Cricetulus griseus: one gene and its partners. The protein of the gene in region 2 purifies or fractionates together with the protein of the main gene of each other region. This does not show direct contact. Links are inferred from orthologs where the notes say so. Each region holds a gene or a part of one and is shown on either strand. Other genes may lie near its edges. The genes, in order: Cpsf1, Sympk and Cpeb1.

Region 1 (5,717 bases), on a different chromosome or scaffold from region 2:
GAACAAAGATCCTCCCCTTGCATAAAGGCTGAGTGAGGTAATCCAGCATGGTGAATAGGTTCTCAAAAGCCAGCTAAGATCCAGGGACAGGTCCTGATCTCAAGGATCTATCTTTTGAATGTGCCCTAACCATTAAAAATCCAAACAGTAGCCGGGCATTGGTGGCGATGCCTTTAATCCCAGTCCTTGGGAGGCAGAGGCAGGCAGATCTCTGTGAGTTTGAGACCAGCCAGGATGACATATAGCTAGTTCCAGGACAGCCTCCAAAGCCACAGAGAAACCCTGTCTCGAGAAAAAAAAAAAAAAAAAAATCTAAACACTTGCTGGGCATAGTGGCACACGCCTTTGATCCCAGTACTTGGGAGGCAAAGGCAGGAGGATCTCTGTGAATTCATTCGAGACCAGCCTGGTCTACAAGAGCTAGTTTCCAGGGCAGGCTCCAAAAACACAGAGAAACTCTATCTTGAAACTCAAGGCCCCCCCCCAAAAAAAAAATCTAAACACTCAGCCGGGTATGGTGATGCACCCCTTTAATCCCAGCACTTGAGAAGCAGAGGTAGGAGGATATCTGTGAGTTCAATGTCAGGCTGGTCTACATAGCAAGTTCCAGGATAGCCAGGACTACTATACAGAGAAACTCTGTCTCAAAACACCTACCCTCAAAAAAGCAAACACTCCTGTTAATTACCAGTGTACAGTTATGCTGTTCTCTCCCTTGCCTTTAAAATCCTTTCTCTTGACTTGAGTTCTGTTCTTAGCACTCATACCAGGCAGCTCACAACCACCTTTAATTCTAGCTCCTACCCCTGGCCACCATGGAATAACAACACTACCAGAATAACTGCTAAGACCAAATCTAGACCAGTTACCCACAACGCTGGCAAAATTTTGGCAACACTGTCGGTTCCTCTCTATCTATCCTGAACCTGATGGCTTCCTATCACCTCATAGCTATACTGGTCCAGGCTACTATTAATGCTTGCCTAAGCTGGGCGGGTGGTGGTGGTGGTGGTGGTGGTGGTGGTGGTGGTGGCGGCGGCGGCGGCGCACGCCTTTAATCCCAGCACTCGGGAGGCAGAGGCAGGTGGATCTCTATGAGTTTGAGACCAGCCTGGTCTACAAGAGCTAGTTCCAGGACAGCCTCCAAAGCCACAGAGAAACCTTGTCTCGAAAAGCCAACAACAACAACAAAAAATTCTTGCCTAATAGCTATAGTCACTTCCTGACTAGTATCCTTGGCCCTCAGTCAAGCATAAGTTGGGTAAGATCATTTATTTGCCAAAATTCCCTACTTGGAGAATGTGGAATAGAGCCCGAGACCCACCTTGTTACCTCCTATCTGCTCTCCCTGCCTTCCTCAATCCCTTAGCCTATATCACAAAACAGTTTTGTTTGAAACCACTTTGTCTAACTCCTACATACTTCTTCATACCTGGTTGTCTATTTAAATCACATCTTCTACAGAGGTGAGATTTTCCAGGAGCCCTGCCCAGATCTGCTGCCCTACATCTCCCTATCTGTATGTGGCCTGTCATTCACTATGGGCAAACTCCACACAGAAGGCTTCTCCCCAGATATCTCACATAGCAGATACTAATAAATGTCTGAGAAAGCCAGGCAGTGGTGGCTCATGCCTTTAATCCCACTCCTCAGAGGCAGAGGCAGGTGTATCTCTGAATTTAGTTTCCAGGGTGGGTTCTAGGGCAGCCAGAACTACACAGAGAAACCCTGCCTTGAAAAAACAAACAAAAAAATATGATCCCTCTCTCATGGTACCCAAGGTTTTTCCACCTCATGTTTCTGCCTGGAACACCTCCCTATCAGCAGAGATATGTGCTGCACCTTGACTAAGAAGCCGCCTCTTTAGTCAGGGGCTGGAGTGATGGCACAGCTATCAAAAGCACTTGCTGCTCTTACAGAAGACCCATTAGGCACAAACACTGATCTCCATGGACACCAAGGGTACATGTGGTGTACATATATATATGTAGGCAAAACATTCACATAAAATCAAATAATAAACCTAATTTTTAAAATTTAGGAGAATCCAGAGCGAGTGCCAGGATAGGCTCCAAAGCTACACAGAGAAACCCTGTCTCAGAAAAAAAAAACCAAAAAAATAAAAATAAAATAAAATTTAGGAGAAAAGGGACCAGGGATATGGCTCAGCAGTTAAGACCACCACCTTCTTCCAGAGGACCCAGGTTAAATCCCCGGCACCCACATCACAACTCTCTGTAACTCTAGTTCCAGAGGATCCGACACCTTCATACAGGCATACATGTAGGCAAAAACACCAATGTACATGAAATAAAAATCAATAAAATTTTTAAAAATTTTAGAAGCTGCCCTTTTGGCTTCATTTGTGTTTTGTTTGTTTGTTTTGAGACAGAGTCTCATTATGTAGCCCTGACTGGCTTGGCCACTTTAGACTGGAACACTCGGAAATCTGTCTGCTTCTGCCTGAGACTGAAGGCAGGCAATACCAAGTTCCACGGAAATTGCCTCTTGCAAGAAGGCTTCCTGAGGAGATGGAGAGATGACTCAGTGGTTTAGAGCACTGGCAGCTCTTGCAGAGGTCCTGAGTTCAAGTCCCAGCAACCATATGGTATGAGATCTGGTGTCCTCTCCTGGCCTGTAGGCATACATGCAGGCAGAGCACTGTATACATAATAAATAAATCTTTAAAAAAAAAAAAAAAGCATTCTGAACCATTTGGTGTCACTATAGCAACCAAAACATCCCTATACCTTATCTATTGATGGGTTTGTTCCACTTTACCACATCTACTGCTAGGAGTCGGTTCCCAAACTATATCTGGCCTTGCTTCTTTATTTAGGCCCAAGTGTTCTTCCCCCCAACAAACTTTATCAGTCTCGGAAAAGCTCTTGTTGTTTGGAAGCACCCAGCCTCCTTCACTGGGTCTTACTCCCGGAGACTTTGCGGCAGTCTGTGTATATTCATTTACTAAAGCATCATCTCCCTCAAGGGTCTGGTTCACTGCCATGTCCTTACTGCTAAGCACACGGAAGGTCTGCAGCAATCTTCTGGAAATGCCAAAGAACAAATAGCAGACAGTAGGCAGGGTAGTAGGCATCCTACCCTACTCGCAGGGTAGGATGAGGCCAAACAACGTGGTAGTGGAGAATCGTCTCTGGGGACAAGAGACCTTAGGCAAAGCTCGGCCCCTGCACCGTGGAACCTGCCGAGGTGACTGCGGTTCGGACTCGGCATCGCCGCTCAGGAGACACGGCTTACCTCGGCGTCGCGGTTCAGGCGGTACACATAGAGCTGTGAGGTGCCGGCCACCACGAGGTTGCGCTCATTGTTGTTGAAGAAGTTGCAGTACATGGCAAACTCCAGCCCGGTGGGCGGGTGTGCCTGCTTGTATACCGCATACATATTGCCGCCACTGTCACGCCGGGGCTGTCGACTCGGGGGACAGGGACCGCAGCGGACTCGGTCCGGCCGCGCGCGCAAACCCGGCTACAAGGTTCCGAGTTCTGCGCCTGCGCTTCCCGCCCGGACCTGCCTTCCAGGAGGACCAACCTGGTAGTCGAGAAACACGGTTCCGGACTACTTGGCCTGTGCGCCTGCGCGCCGAGGCTGCCCTCGAACCGCGGCCCCTAGTGGCCTAACTTGATAAGAGCTGAAGAGCCTGGTCCTAGAACTAGTCGGCTCTGGGCTGGTAGACACTCCGCTCCCTCCAAGGTTTTCCTCATTAGCTAAATCCAGAACCTTGAAATCCCAGTAAATATATAGGCCCGGAAAAGGATACAGAAACATGCAAAGTCACACTTCACCTGCTCACTCAGTGGATGAGGGTCTATTTGGATGTCTAAGTTGGGAGGGGACCCTTGTATCACACTAAGGATCTCTCTTTTTTTTTTTTTTTAAGATTTTATGTATCTATTATATATACAACATTCTGCTTCCATGTATATCTGCACACCAGAAGAGGGCACCAGATCTCATAACAGATGGTTGTGAGCCACCATGTGGTTGCTGGGAATTGAACTCAGGACCTCTGGAATAGCACCTGGTGCTCTTAACCTCTGAGCCATCTCTCCAGCCCCCATGGGATCTCTTTTTTTAAAAAAGTATTTTGTTGCCGGGTGTTGGTGGCACACGCCTTTAATCCCAGAACTGGGGAGGCAGAGGCAGGCAGTTCTGTGTGAGTTCGAGGCCAGCCTGGTCTACAAGAGCTAGTTCCAGGACAGCCTCCAAAGCCACAGAGAAACCCTGTCTCAAAAAATAACAACAACAACAGAAAAGTATTTTGGGGGCTGGAGAGATGGCTCAGCGGTTAAGAGCACTGACTATTCTTCCAGAGGTCCTGAGTTCAATATCCAGCAACCACATGGTGGCTCACAACCACCTTGAGTGAGATTTGCATGCAGGCAGAAGACTGTATACATAATAAATAAATAAAATATTTAAAAAGTATTTTGTTGTTTCCCTTATTTATTTATTTATTTATTTATTGGTTTTTTGGGACAGGATTTCTCTATGGCTTTGGAGGCTGTCCTGGAATTAGCTCTTGTAGACCAGGCTGGTCTCGAACTCACAGAGATTCACCTGCCTCTGCCTCCCGAGTGCTAGGATTAAAAGCATGTGCCACTAACGCCCGGCTTGTCTTGTTTTTCTAGTCAGGGTTTCTCTGAATTGCTTTGGAGGCTGTCCTGGCACTCACCCTGTAGACCAGACTGGCCTCGAACTCACAGAGATCCACCTGCCTCTGCCTCCCCTTTGTTTATGTTTTAAGTCAAGGTCTTGCTACATATCCCTGGCTGTCCTAGAACTCAGCTGGCCTCGAATTCACAGAGATCTGCCTGCTTCTTCCTTCCAAGTGCTGGGATTAAAGCAGCACAGTCCTGCTGGCACATACACACATAATTTAAATAATAAAATCTTAGCCACTGATGGTGGCACACGCCTTTAATCCCAGCACTCAGGAGGCAGAGGCTGGTGGATCTCTGAGTTCGAAGACAGCCTGGTTTACTGAATGAGTTCCAAGACAGCCAGGGCTACACAGAGAAATCCTATCTCAAAAAAACAAAATAAGGGCTGGAGAGATGACTCAGAGGTTAAGACCACAGACTGCTCTTCCAAAGGTCCTGAGTTCAATTCCCAGCAACCACATGGTGGCTCACAACCATCCGTTATGAGATCTGGTGCCCTCTTCTGGTGTGCAGATATACATGGAAGAAGAATGTTGCATACATAATAAATAAATAAAATCTTTAAAAAAAAACAAAATAAAATAAAATCTTCAAAACAAAAAATTCTTGAAGACCTCTCACATGGTACCTCACATTTGTAATCCTGGTACTTTCAGGAAGGACTGTGCATTTCTGAGACCAATCTGGTTACCCAGTGAGACCCGGTGTTAATTAGCAGTTAAGACATTCTTTTCTTTTTCCCTGGTGTAAGAAGGGACTTTGAGAGCCCATCCCACGTGAAGGGTTACACTCTGGCCCTGGACACATGGGGAAGGGCCCAGGAGCAGCACAGGAAGATTTGGTGGACTTTGCAGAGCCCCCGTTGAGGGCCCTACCCTGCCTGGGGAGTGGTGGGTGGATGGGGTGGGGGGTAGGGGGGGGGAGGGAGAAGGGACTTACATGTGAAACAAGCTTGTTCCCAAATAAATAAATAAATAAATAAATAAATAAATAAATAAATAAATAAATAGAAAGACATTCTTTTCTGAAGCCTGT
Region 2 (5,092 bases):
CAAGATAAACAGGCTTTAAAAGCAGGGGCCACATGACTTGACAACACCATCTCTTGGAGCAGTCAGGTGAAAACCTGAGCATACCAAAGACTCGTAAGCCAGGGCTGGAGAGATGGCTCAGAAGTTAAGAGCACTGACTGCTCTTCCAGAGGTCCTGAGTTCAATTCCTGGCAACCACATGGTGGCTCACAACCATCTGTAATGATACCTCATTCTGACCTGCAGGGCACAGGCAGGTCGAAGATTGTCTGTATACTTAATAAAATAAAATCTTAAAAAAAAAAAAAAAAAAGACCCGTAAGCCACTGTTATGCTCACGACAAGAAGGTCTGAAACAAGGGTTGGTGCAATGGCTTAGAGGGAAAAGGGGAACTGAGTCCAGTCTTTGGAACCCACATGAGTTGGAAAAAGCCATTCCTTGTGATGCTCATGGCCACACCGACACTGGAGTTGTATTTGTGTCAATGTTCATAATTTATACTTCAAAGAACAAGCTGGTGCCAAGCATGGCTCACACCCATAATTCCAGCACTCAGGAGACTAGGCAGAAGATTGGTGCAAATTAGAAGCCAGCATGGGTTGCACAACAAGACCTGGTCTCAAAGAAGACAAAAGCCTGCCCTGCAGAGATGCCTTAGGCGTGAAGAGCACTTGCTGTTCTCGCACAGGACCTCAGCTTTGCTCTTAACACCCACAACTCTTGTGATTCCTCCATCACCAAGAGATCTGACGCCCTCTCCTAGCCTGAGGGCACACACAAAAAAACAAAAAAATGCACAGGCGAAATAAGGGAAAGACTCCAAAGTTCAGAGTCTCAGTAACCTGACACAGTCAGTATGGTTCAGTCTGGACCTCAAGGTGAAGTCTGTTAGATTTCAAAGCCCAGGACCTGAAGACATTGAGCATTCTATATAATGGTGGAACACCTTAGATGGCGCATGACCTTCATCTCCACAGCTTTTCCAGAAAGAGAGTCCAGTGCCAAGGCCTGGCCTGGGTCAGCACAAGACTCACCAGGTCCCAGTCCTGCAGCTGTCATCTGTGTGGCCATGAGCCGAGCCAGGTGCTTGATCTGGGCTTCGGTGCCTGCAGACTCCACCGGGGTGTAGATGGCTTGGAAGGAGGCAGGCATGGTCTCAGGTAGGTACACCATGCTGATGAGGACCTGCAGGAGGCCCGGGGAGGGGAAGCCTTAGCCAGTTCAGTCTAGAGCAGCATGGAAGGAGCAGCAGGAACTGAGGCTGGGCTGGGCCTGCACTCCTTGTCTTAGCTCTCTGGGAAAACAATGACCACCGGGCTGTCCACCTGGGAGTCTCCCACCCCCCAGAACAGAGTGAGTAGACAGGGAATGGGATAATGAGGATAAATGGCTTCTCGAAGGAGGAGGGGTGAGAGGAAAGGCCTATCCAAGGGACAACCTAACCCTCCTCACCAGATTGGCCACATTGTCAGGTGTTAGCAGAGGCTGCAAGAACTCAGCAGTGATGTCCGTGTCTGACTGGCCTGAGATCTGGGCTGAGGCCTTTGAAGTCCCTGATGGGCCAGGTTCCAAGTCTTTGTCCTCATCATCTTCTCCCAAGTTGGGCTCTGAGAAGGGAAGAAGGGAAAAGGCTGGCTTTCTAGACTGCAGCTGGACCTGTGTCAGGGAGCCAGGGGACCCTGCCTCTAGCAAGCCACTGCATGAAGCAGCCACACAGCAGGCAAGGAAGGACCTAAGCTGCAGTTTGTCATGGCCGTGAAAGTGACATAGGGCCCCAGGCACCCACCTCTTCCTGGTGCCCCGGTCTCATCTGGAACATGGCAAAAAGCCAAAAACCTCTAGCTGATCACATTAAGCTCTGAGATGACGATACTATTAATATAGTCCATACTGAGGATGGAACGCAGGACCCTGTACTCTCTAGGTAGGTGCTCCCAGTGAGAGACAGCATGCTGTTACTGTCCCTATCACTGACACCATTCTACGTCACCTTCTAAAGGAGATGCTTCTTGAGTTTAAGTATATGGGTATTTGCCTGCATGTATGTATATCTGTGCACCATGTGTGTGCATGTGGAAGTCAAAAGAGGGCAAGGATCCCCTAGGATTGGGCTAACAAATGGTTATGGGCTGCCATGTCACCACTGGGAATTGAACCGGGGTCCTCTGAAAGAGTAGATACCACTCTTAACCCTTGAGCCATATCACCAGCCCCAACCAGCCTCCCTTTTTTGAGACACTGTCTTATGTAGCTCAGGCTGGCTAAAATTTACTATCTATCTCAGACTAGTTGGGACCTGGACCCTCCTGATTGAGACCCCAAGTGCTGGGATCAGAGGCATGCACCACCATTCCTTGCTAGAAGACTGGCATTCCACAGCAGGGGACCGCTCAGGAGATATGGACACAGTGTTAGCTGGGTGAGCGCGTGAGAGACACATGGGCCAAACACAATGTGTGATGGATACCCATGAACAGCACACAGGCGCCTCCAGTACCACTTCTGCAACGTGTCTGTCCATCCAAAATCACTTTAAAACAAGAAGCTTAAGGAAATACGGAGCTGGACAAATGGCTCAACCGTTCAGAGCATTTGCTGTTTTTCCAAACACCCAAATTTGGCATCCATCACTCATGACACACAGCTTACAAATGCTTGTAACTCCAGTTCCAAAGGGTCTAATGGCCTCTTCCCGCCTTTGTGGGCAACTGCACTCATGCATACACGCACGCACGCACGCACGCACGCACACCCATATGTGTATACACCATTAAAAATAAAAGTAAGTATTAGCCGGGTGGGCAGTGGTGGTGCACGCCTTTAATCCCAGCACTTGGGAGGCAGAGACAGGCAGATCTTTAAGTTCAAGGCCAGCTTGATCTACAAAGCAAGTTCCAGAACAGCCATGGCTACACAGAGAAACTTTAAAAAAAAAAAAAAGGGGGGGGGGCGGTCTGGAAAGATAGCTCAGTGGTTAAGAGCACTGGCTGCTTTTCCAGAGGACCCAGGTTCAATTCCCAGCACCCACGTGACAGCTCACAACTTCTGAAACTCTAGTTTGTGATTGGTGTGACACCTTCACACCAATGCACAGAAAATAAAGTTAAATAAATTATTTTAGCCGGGCCCTGGTGGCACACCCCTTTAATCCCAGAACTCGGGAGGCAGAGGCAGGCAGATCTCTGTGAGTTCGAGGCCAGCCTGGTCTACAGAGAGAGTTCCAGGACAGGCTCCAAAGCTACACAGAGAAGCCCTGTCTCGAAAAAAAAAAAAAAAAAAAAAATATATATATATTATATATATAATATATAATAAATAAACAGGGGGCTGGAGAGATGGCTCAGAGGTTAAGAGCACTGACTGTTCTTCCAGAGGTCCTGAGTTCAATTCCCAGCAACCACATGGTGGCTAACAACCATCCGTTATGAGATCTGGTGCCCTCTTCTGGTGTGCAGATATACATGGAAGCAGAATGATGTATACATGATAAATAAAATCTTAAATAGATAAATAAATAAACATAAAAAACAAATCTTTAAAAAAAAAAAAAGTAAGAAGAGAAAATTGACTTTAGACAAACTCAATGCACAACCCCTCGAAGTGTTTTCCTTTGGGAGTGTTCTATGGTGAGATGCACAGGACAGTCCTACAGCAGGGGCAGAAACAAGATGCCCACAAATGTAACTGGCAATGTTTCCATGCACATTGCAGAGTACCTGACCACCATTAAAAAGATGCAAGGCAGAGGTAGAGGTAGCTTAGACTTGAGAACACCCAGATAGTGGTTCACAACCACCTGTAACGCCAGTTCCAGGGGATCTGGTACCGCCTTCTGTCTTCCGGAGACACCAAGCGTGCATGTGGTAAACATACATGTGTACAAGCAAGACACTCACACATAAAATGAATGAATCTGATGAAAACGTTAAAATAAATAGTGAAAAGATGAAGGGCCAGCAACAGGCTCAGTGGGGAGAGGTGCTTCCCTCTCGCACAAACCTGAAGATCCCAGTCTGATCCCCAGAAGGAGAGGACAGGTCCCACAAAGTTGTGCCCTGGCCTCCATACACGCACTTGGCATATGTGCTCCCCTCCCCCATTAAAAAAAAAAAATCGCAGTAGAATCTCCTCCACAGAAACTTAAAGGAGAGCAAAGTATTGCTCTCCCTCACTGAGCAACGGAGAAATATAGCTAAAGGCCACAGCAACCCTTATGAAGTTAATTCCATTTGAATACAAAAAAGAATTTCGGGGCTGGAGAGATGGCTCAGAGGTTAAGAGCACTGACTGCTCTTCCAGAGGTCCTGAGTTCAATTCCCAGCACCCACATGGTGGCTCACAACCATCTGTAATGAGATCTGGTGCCCTCTTCTGGTGTGCAGATGTACATGGAAGCAGAATGTTGTATACATAATAAATAAAATCTTAAAAAAAAAAAAGAATTTCATAGCTGGGTGCATTGGCACACATCTGTCATCCCAGCACTTCGGAAGCAGAGGCAGGTGGATCTCTATGTGTTCGAAGGCCAGCCAGGACTACATAATGACATCTTGACAAAAGCAAGACAAAACCCCAACATAATTTCAGAAATATCCTACACACAGAGATGACATTTTAAAAAATGTTGGTATTAAGAGGCTGCTATGTCAACACTATTGTTGAGTACCCCAGAAATCACCTCAGAGCTGGGGAGGTGACACACACCTGCAATCCTCACACTTGGAGACAGAAGACCGTGTCTCAATAAAAAACAAAAATGTTCAAGTTTTCAAAATTAAAAACAAAAACAAAAACCCTGAGCCAGATGGTGGTGGTACACGCAAAGCTTTAATCAGCACTCAGGAGGCAGAGACAGGTGAATTTCTGTGGGTTCAAGGCCAGCATGGTCTACAGAGTGAGTTCCAGGACAGCCAGGACTACACAGAGAAAGCCTTCTCCAAAAACCAAAACAAAAAAAGAAAAATCCAATTATATATATCAAGTAAAGGAAAAGCGCCTTCTACACACGTATAAAACAGGAACGAAAACACAAAGAACACACCACTCGTCACTCACTTCCTTTTTGTAACATCTAAATGAATCCTAATTGGCCACACACCCACCATCCCAGCA
Region 3 (4,713 bases), on a different chromosome or scaffold from region 2:
CAGTAACCATTTTACTGATAAAAGTATTTCCACCCTTTTGTCCTTCATGCTTCTAGCTTTTAAATGTTCTATGAGTTCTACCTTTCACACGGACTCTTGTTTTCTTTCTTGGGAACTTATGCTCTGTTAGTTCCTGTGGCCTGTCAATTTGGTACTTCTTGCTTACTCTGCAGAATGAGCAAATTCTGTTGTAGTTTCTCTCACCCTTATGAACACATGGACACAGGAAATCCAATTCAAGTTGGGTTGGATAAGGATGCCTTACTGGAAACCTGTGTGCCTCACATGAGTGACAACACCCTTTCACCCCTGCACAACTTTAGCAGCTGCAGCTGTAATATCCAGAGCATGTGTTCTACCATACAGGAGGCTCTCTGAAGCTGCCAGCTGATAAACCTTTGGGGGCATTTTCAGGTGCAGGTAATCCCTTGGGTCTTGGCTGACAGCAACTTTGTCTGGAGCCCATCTCAGAGGCTGGATCCCAGCAGGACGGTGTTTGTTGGTGCCTTGCACGGGATGCTCAATGCTGAGGCTCTGGCTGCCATCTTGAATGACCTATTTGGTGGAGTGGTGTATGCTGGGATTGACACAGATAAGCACAAGTACCCCATTGGTGAGTGTCCTACTTCTGTGTGGGAAGGCTTGGTGCCCCTGGGAGTAAATTAAAATTGTAATACTTGCCCTTGAGAGTGGAGAGAGAACTGACCTGGGTTTGCAAATCATCTTTTCCTCCAGAAGTTACCAATACTGGCCCATCTGCATCTTGACTCTGCTCCTGTTTCCCACACTGGGAAAAAGGGTGATTGTAGGATTTATGATAATATTGGTGAAAATGAGGGGAAAAGTTGGTTGAGATTCAAAGTACACAGCCAAACCAGTTTAGGACAAACTGTAGCTAGTATTGCATTTAAAGACATAATTTACTGAGAACTTGCCCAGTTTCCTGTATTAAAAGTTCTTGCCAGCCAGGCGTTGGTGACGCACATCTTTAATCCCAGCACTCTCGAGGCAGAGGCAGGTGGATCTCTGTGAGTTTGAGGCCAGCCTGGTCTCTAGGACAGCCTCCAAAGCTACACAGAAAAACCCTGTCTTGAAAAACCACAAAAAAAGTTCTTGCCAGTCATGGTAGCACATGCTTGTACTTAGGAGACAGAAGCAGGTGGATCTCTGAATTCAGAGCCAATCCAGTCTACAGAGAGAATTCCAGGGCAGCCAGGGCTACATAGTGAGACCTTGTCAGGAAGCAAGGAAAAAAATGTTTTGTTTTTACATCTTTGATCTTGTCTAGAGTAAGAGACAAGGTCAGATCAAAGGTGCTTTCTGAATTTCTCAGAAACTGGTACAGCTATTGAGCTGTTCTACCCTAAGGTAGTCTGTCCTAACCACTGACTTTTGATCAGCTTTTCTGAGAAAGATTTAGTACAGCAACCACAGTGATGGGGTTTGGAAGTGGAGCAGACCTGAACTCTGATCGAGGCATATATATAGTTAATCCACCTTCCTAGAAGCTTGGTCTGCTCACCTACACTGAATCTGGTCAGGGAGGAGCACTGAGTGCTTGCCAGTGCTGTGCTGAAGATGGAGAACTAGGACTTCAGAGGCTTATAGGGGCAGGGATCGCACTGGCAGGAAGGGATTCTTCTGCTAGTTCCTAGTTCTCTAAGGTTCCTCTGGGTCAGACAAGGTTTGATCGCCATTTCTACCCTTCAGAGACAGTTTAGTCTGCAGCTTGGGTGCCAACTGAGCCCTTTACCTTTCTCTGCGCATCTGTGTGCATAGGAGGAACCCCATCCTTTCCCTCTTTGCTAAATGGTTTACACTAACATGTCTTACAATGTTACTGTCCAGTGTGATAGCCACCAACAGGAGGTATCTGTTGAGCACTTGGAATGCAGCTTCTCCTAGGTGTTAAAATATCTGGAACACAGCCAGGCAGTGGTGGCGTTAGCCTTTAACCCCAGCACTTGGGAGGCAGAGGCAGGTGGATTTCTGTAAGTTTGAAGCCAGTCTGGTTTACAGAGAGTTCCAGGACAGCCAGGGCTACACAGAGAAACCCTGTCTTGGAAAAGGAATCTTGAACACATAGGTGAACTATATTATTAAAATTCCACTACTTTCAATTTTGCTGTGACAAGCACTAAGTTAGAAATTACATACTTACTTACATTTATGTCAGACAGCACTGGTATAGAAACGGAGTTTTTTGAGTACTTAAGAGAATTTGAGCAGGAATGTGTAAGCTTGTGCCCGGTTTTCCTAGGGTCTGGTCGAGTGACTTTCAATAACCAACGTAGTTACCTGAAAGCAGTCAGCGCTGCTTTTGTGGAGATCAAAACCACCAAGTTTACCAAGAAGGTGAGTGTCTGGTTGATGCTCTTACTTTGAGAGAGACTTGAATCATTTACAAAAATGGCATAGTTCCAAGGTTAGGGCAATGAGCCCAACTGCCAAGTTGGCCTGAGTTCAGGGTTTGAGGTGGGCTTTGTCTCAGGGGACTCAGGAGGAAGGGACCAAGACTGTTAGTGCCTGAGTAGGTGTGGGTGGGGAGAAGTTCCCTCATTTTGATATTTATCTGAAATTGCTAAGTAGATTGACTTTTTTTAAAAAGATTTTATTTATTATGTCTTCTGCCTGCATGCCAGCAGAGGATACCAGATTTCAGTGGTTGTGATGGTTGCTGGGAATTGAACTTAGGACTTCTGCAAGAACAGTCAGTGCTCTTAACTACTGAGCCATCTCTCCAGCCCCTAGATTGACTTTCTTTATCCCCTTATACCTGATTCCTCTGAACCCTTCCCTGTTAAAAGGGATAATGGAGAGCCAGGGTTCATTTTGCTGAGCATAGGCAATATAAAGCCTGTGGCTGTCAAATGTTGGAAGCAACCAGCTCTTGTTTCTGTAGGATAGGAGTCTATCCACTAAGAGCCGTATTAGACCCTGGCCCACAATTCTGTCTAGCCTCCATTAGAACAGACAAACATCCTACATCCCTGTGTGTTCAATAATAAGCTACTAAAGTTCATCTGACCCATAAAACCATTTTATTTCCCTCTGTTGCTGTTCCTCAGGTTCAGATTGACCCCTATCTAGAAGATTCTCTGTGTCTTATCTGCAGTTCACAGCCTGGCCCTTTCTTCTGTCGAGATCAGGTGAGTTCCCTGGGCACTAGAAATGTCTACAAAGTTCCTATCACAATTTTTAAAAAATGTGTTAAGGTCCATTTATGGCATTGAGTATTAAAATTCTTAGGCAACTTGTGATGTCTGAGAGCATAGAGACAATAATCAAGAGGGCACAATATAGATAGCCTAGTCCACACTCTAGGTATGTCCGGTGCTCGTTGTATTTTCCCTTTCCCTTTCTGGGCTACTACTGTACAATATGGCCATTGGTGATGGTGGGTGCTTTTTGTTTTATTTTTTTGGAAATGGTCTTACTGTTTAGTCCTTACAGGCTATGGGACTCATGTAGCCAAGCTAGCCTTGAGCTTGCAGCAAGCCTCTTTCTTACTCACTGCTTCTGCCAGAGCCCCAGGATCAGTGGCATGTGATATCATACCCAGTTAGTGGGTTTGCAGACATTTGATAGTTGGGTACCTATGAATCAAGCTCTGCTGATATTTTTTCTAAGTCTGACAAGCATTTCTAAGTCTGTCCAACTACAGTCTCTGACGCTGTTTGCCTCTGGATAGCTATGAATACTGCCTAACCCAAAATTGTAATTTTAGGAGGACCCTCCCACCTTGTGAAGTATTGGTTTGGTTTTATATCTGGATTTCATGGTTCTCCAGCATGAAATGAGCATTGTATTGCAATGCCAAAAAGTTAAGCACACCGTGCTGGGACTGAGTTTTCCCCTACTTTATTTCTGAACTTCTGGACTGCTTTGGTATTTGTATCTGGGTTCTAACCACAGTCATCAGAGGTGGAAACTTCATGGAAAGTTTCCATGGAAACTTTCTATTGGGTGTCTCTGGGTGGTGGCACATGGATGGGATCTGCGTGTGTTTGGCAGTCAATGCTTTTTCTGACTTGAATGTATGTACACATCACCTGAGAACTTTGTTGAAATGAGAATCTGACTCTGGGTTTGGGTGGATCCTGAGAAGTCTGTGTTTTTAGTAAATTGCTGAGTGGTGTCTGTATTAATGTTTTGAAAGACCTCTTTTAAAAAAATACATTAAAATATGTTTTCATATATGCATACAATATATATTTTGATCATGTTCAACCCTACTCCTTTTCATCCACTCCTCTCAATTTAATCTTTTTGTTTTATTTTGGTGCTGTTACTCTTTGGGGTTTTTTTGTTTTGTTTTTGAGACAGGGTTTGTACCTGTGGTCAGCCTGGGACTTAATATGTAAACCAGGCTGGCCTCAAACTCAGAGATCAGCCTGCCTTTGCTTTCCAAGTTCTGGAATAAAAGGCATGCATCACTATGCCCAGTGTCTGTCTGTCTGTCTCTCTCTGTCTCTGTCTCTGTCTCTGTCTCTCTCTCTCTCTCTCTCTCTCTCTCTCTCTCTCTCTCACACACACACACACACACCACACACACACACACACACACACACACACACACCCCACACACACACACTAACTCACACACCTAGTCCTGATGTGCTACTTATGGTGGTCCATCTACTAAGGGATAACCCTTAAAGAAAACTGACTTTCTTCTTCCAGAAGCTCTCAGCTAGTAGTGGCTTGTGGGCT

What was found.
Region 1: the proteins of Sympk (region 2) and Cpsf1 fractionate together in Homo sapiens (co-fractionation; 5 studies listed by BioGRID and IntAct, with this or other methods). This does not show direct contact. The link is inferred for Cricetulus griseus from reciprocal best matches to the Homo sapiens genes SYMPK and CPSF1.
Region 3: the proteins of Sympk (region 2) and Cpeb1 purify together in Homo sapiens (affinity purification with mass spectrometry; 3 studies listed by BioGRID and IntAct, counting the BioPlex papers as one, with this or other methods). This does not show direct contact. The link is inferred for Cricetulus griseus from reciprocal best matches to the Homo sapiens genes SYMPK and CPEB1.

The regions. Positions count from the first base shown.
Region 1 is NC_048595.1:373,881,034-373,886,750, forward strand, and holds the start of Cpsf1 (cleavage and polyadenylation specificity factor subunit 1), read right to left. Parts: upstream 3,479-5,717; 5' UTR 3,403-3,478; coding exon 3,259-3,402; intron 1-3,258. UniProt on the Homo sapiens protein: Component of the cleavage and polyadenylation specificity factor (CPSF) complex that plays a key role in pre-mRNA 3'-end formation, recognizing the AAUAAA signal sequence and interacting with poly(A) polymerase and other factors to bring about cleavage and poly(A) addition.
Region 2 is NC_048602.1:28,328,632-28,333,723, forward strand, and holds part of Sympk (symplekin), read right to left. Parts: intron 1,588-5,092; coding exon 1,433-1,587; intron 1,166-1,432; coding exon 1,015-1,165; intron 1-1,014. UniProt on the Homo sapiens protein: Scaffold protein that functions as a component of a multimolecular complex involved in histone mRNA 3'-end processing. Specific component of the tight junction (TJ) plaque, but might not be an exclusively junctional component. May have a house-keeping rule.
Region 3 is NC_048596.1:116,222,872-116,227,584, forward strand, and holds part of Cpeb1 (cytoplasmic polyadenylation element-binding protein 1), read left to right. Parts: intron 1-414; coding exon 415-613; intron 614-2,260; coding exon 2,261-2,355; intron 2,356-3,068; coding exon 3,069-3,149; intron 3,150-4,713.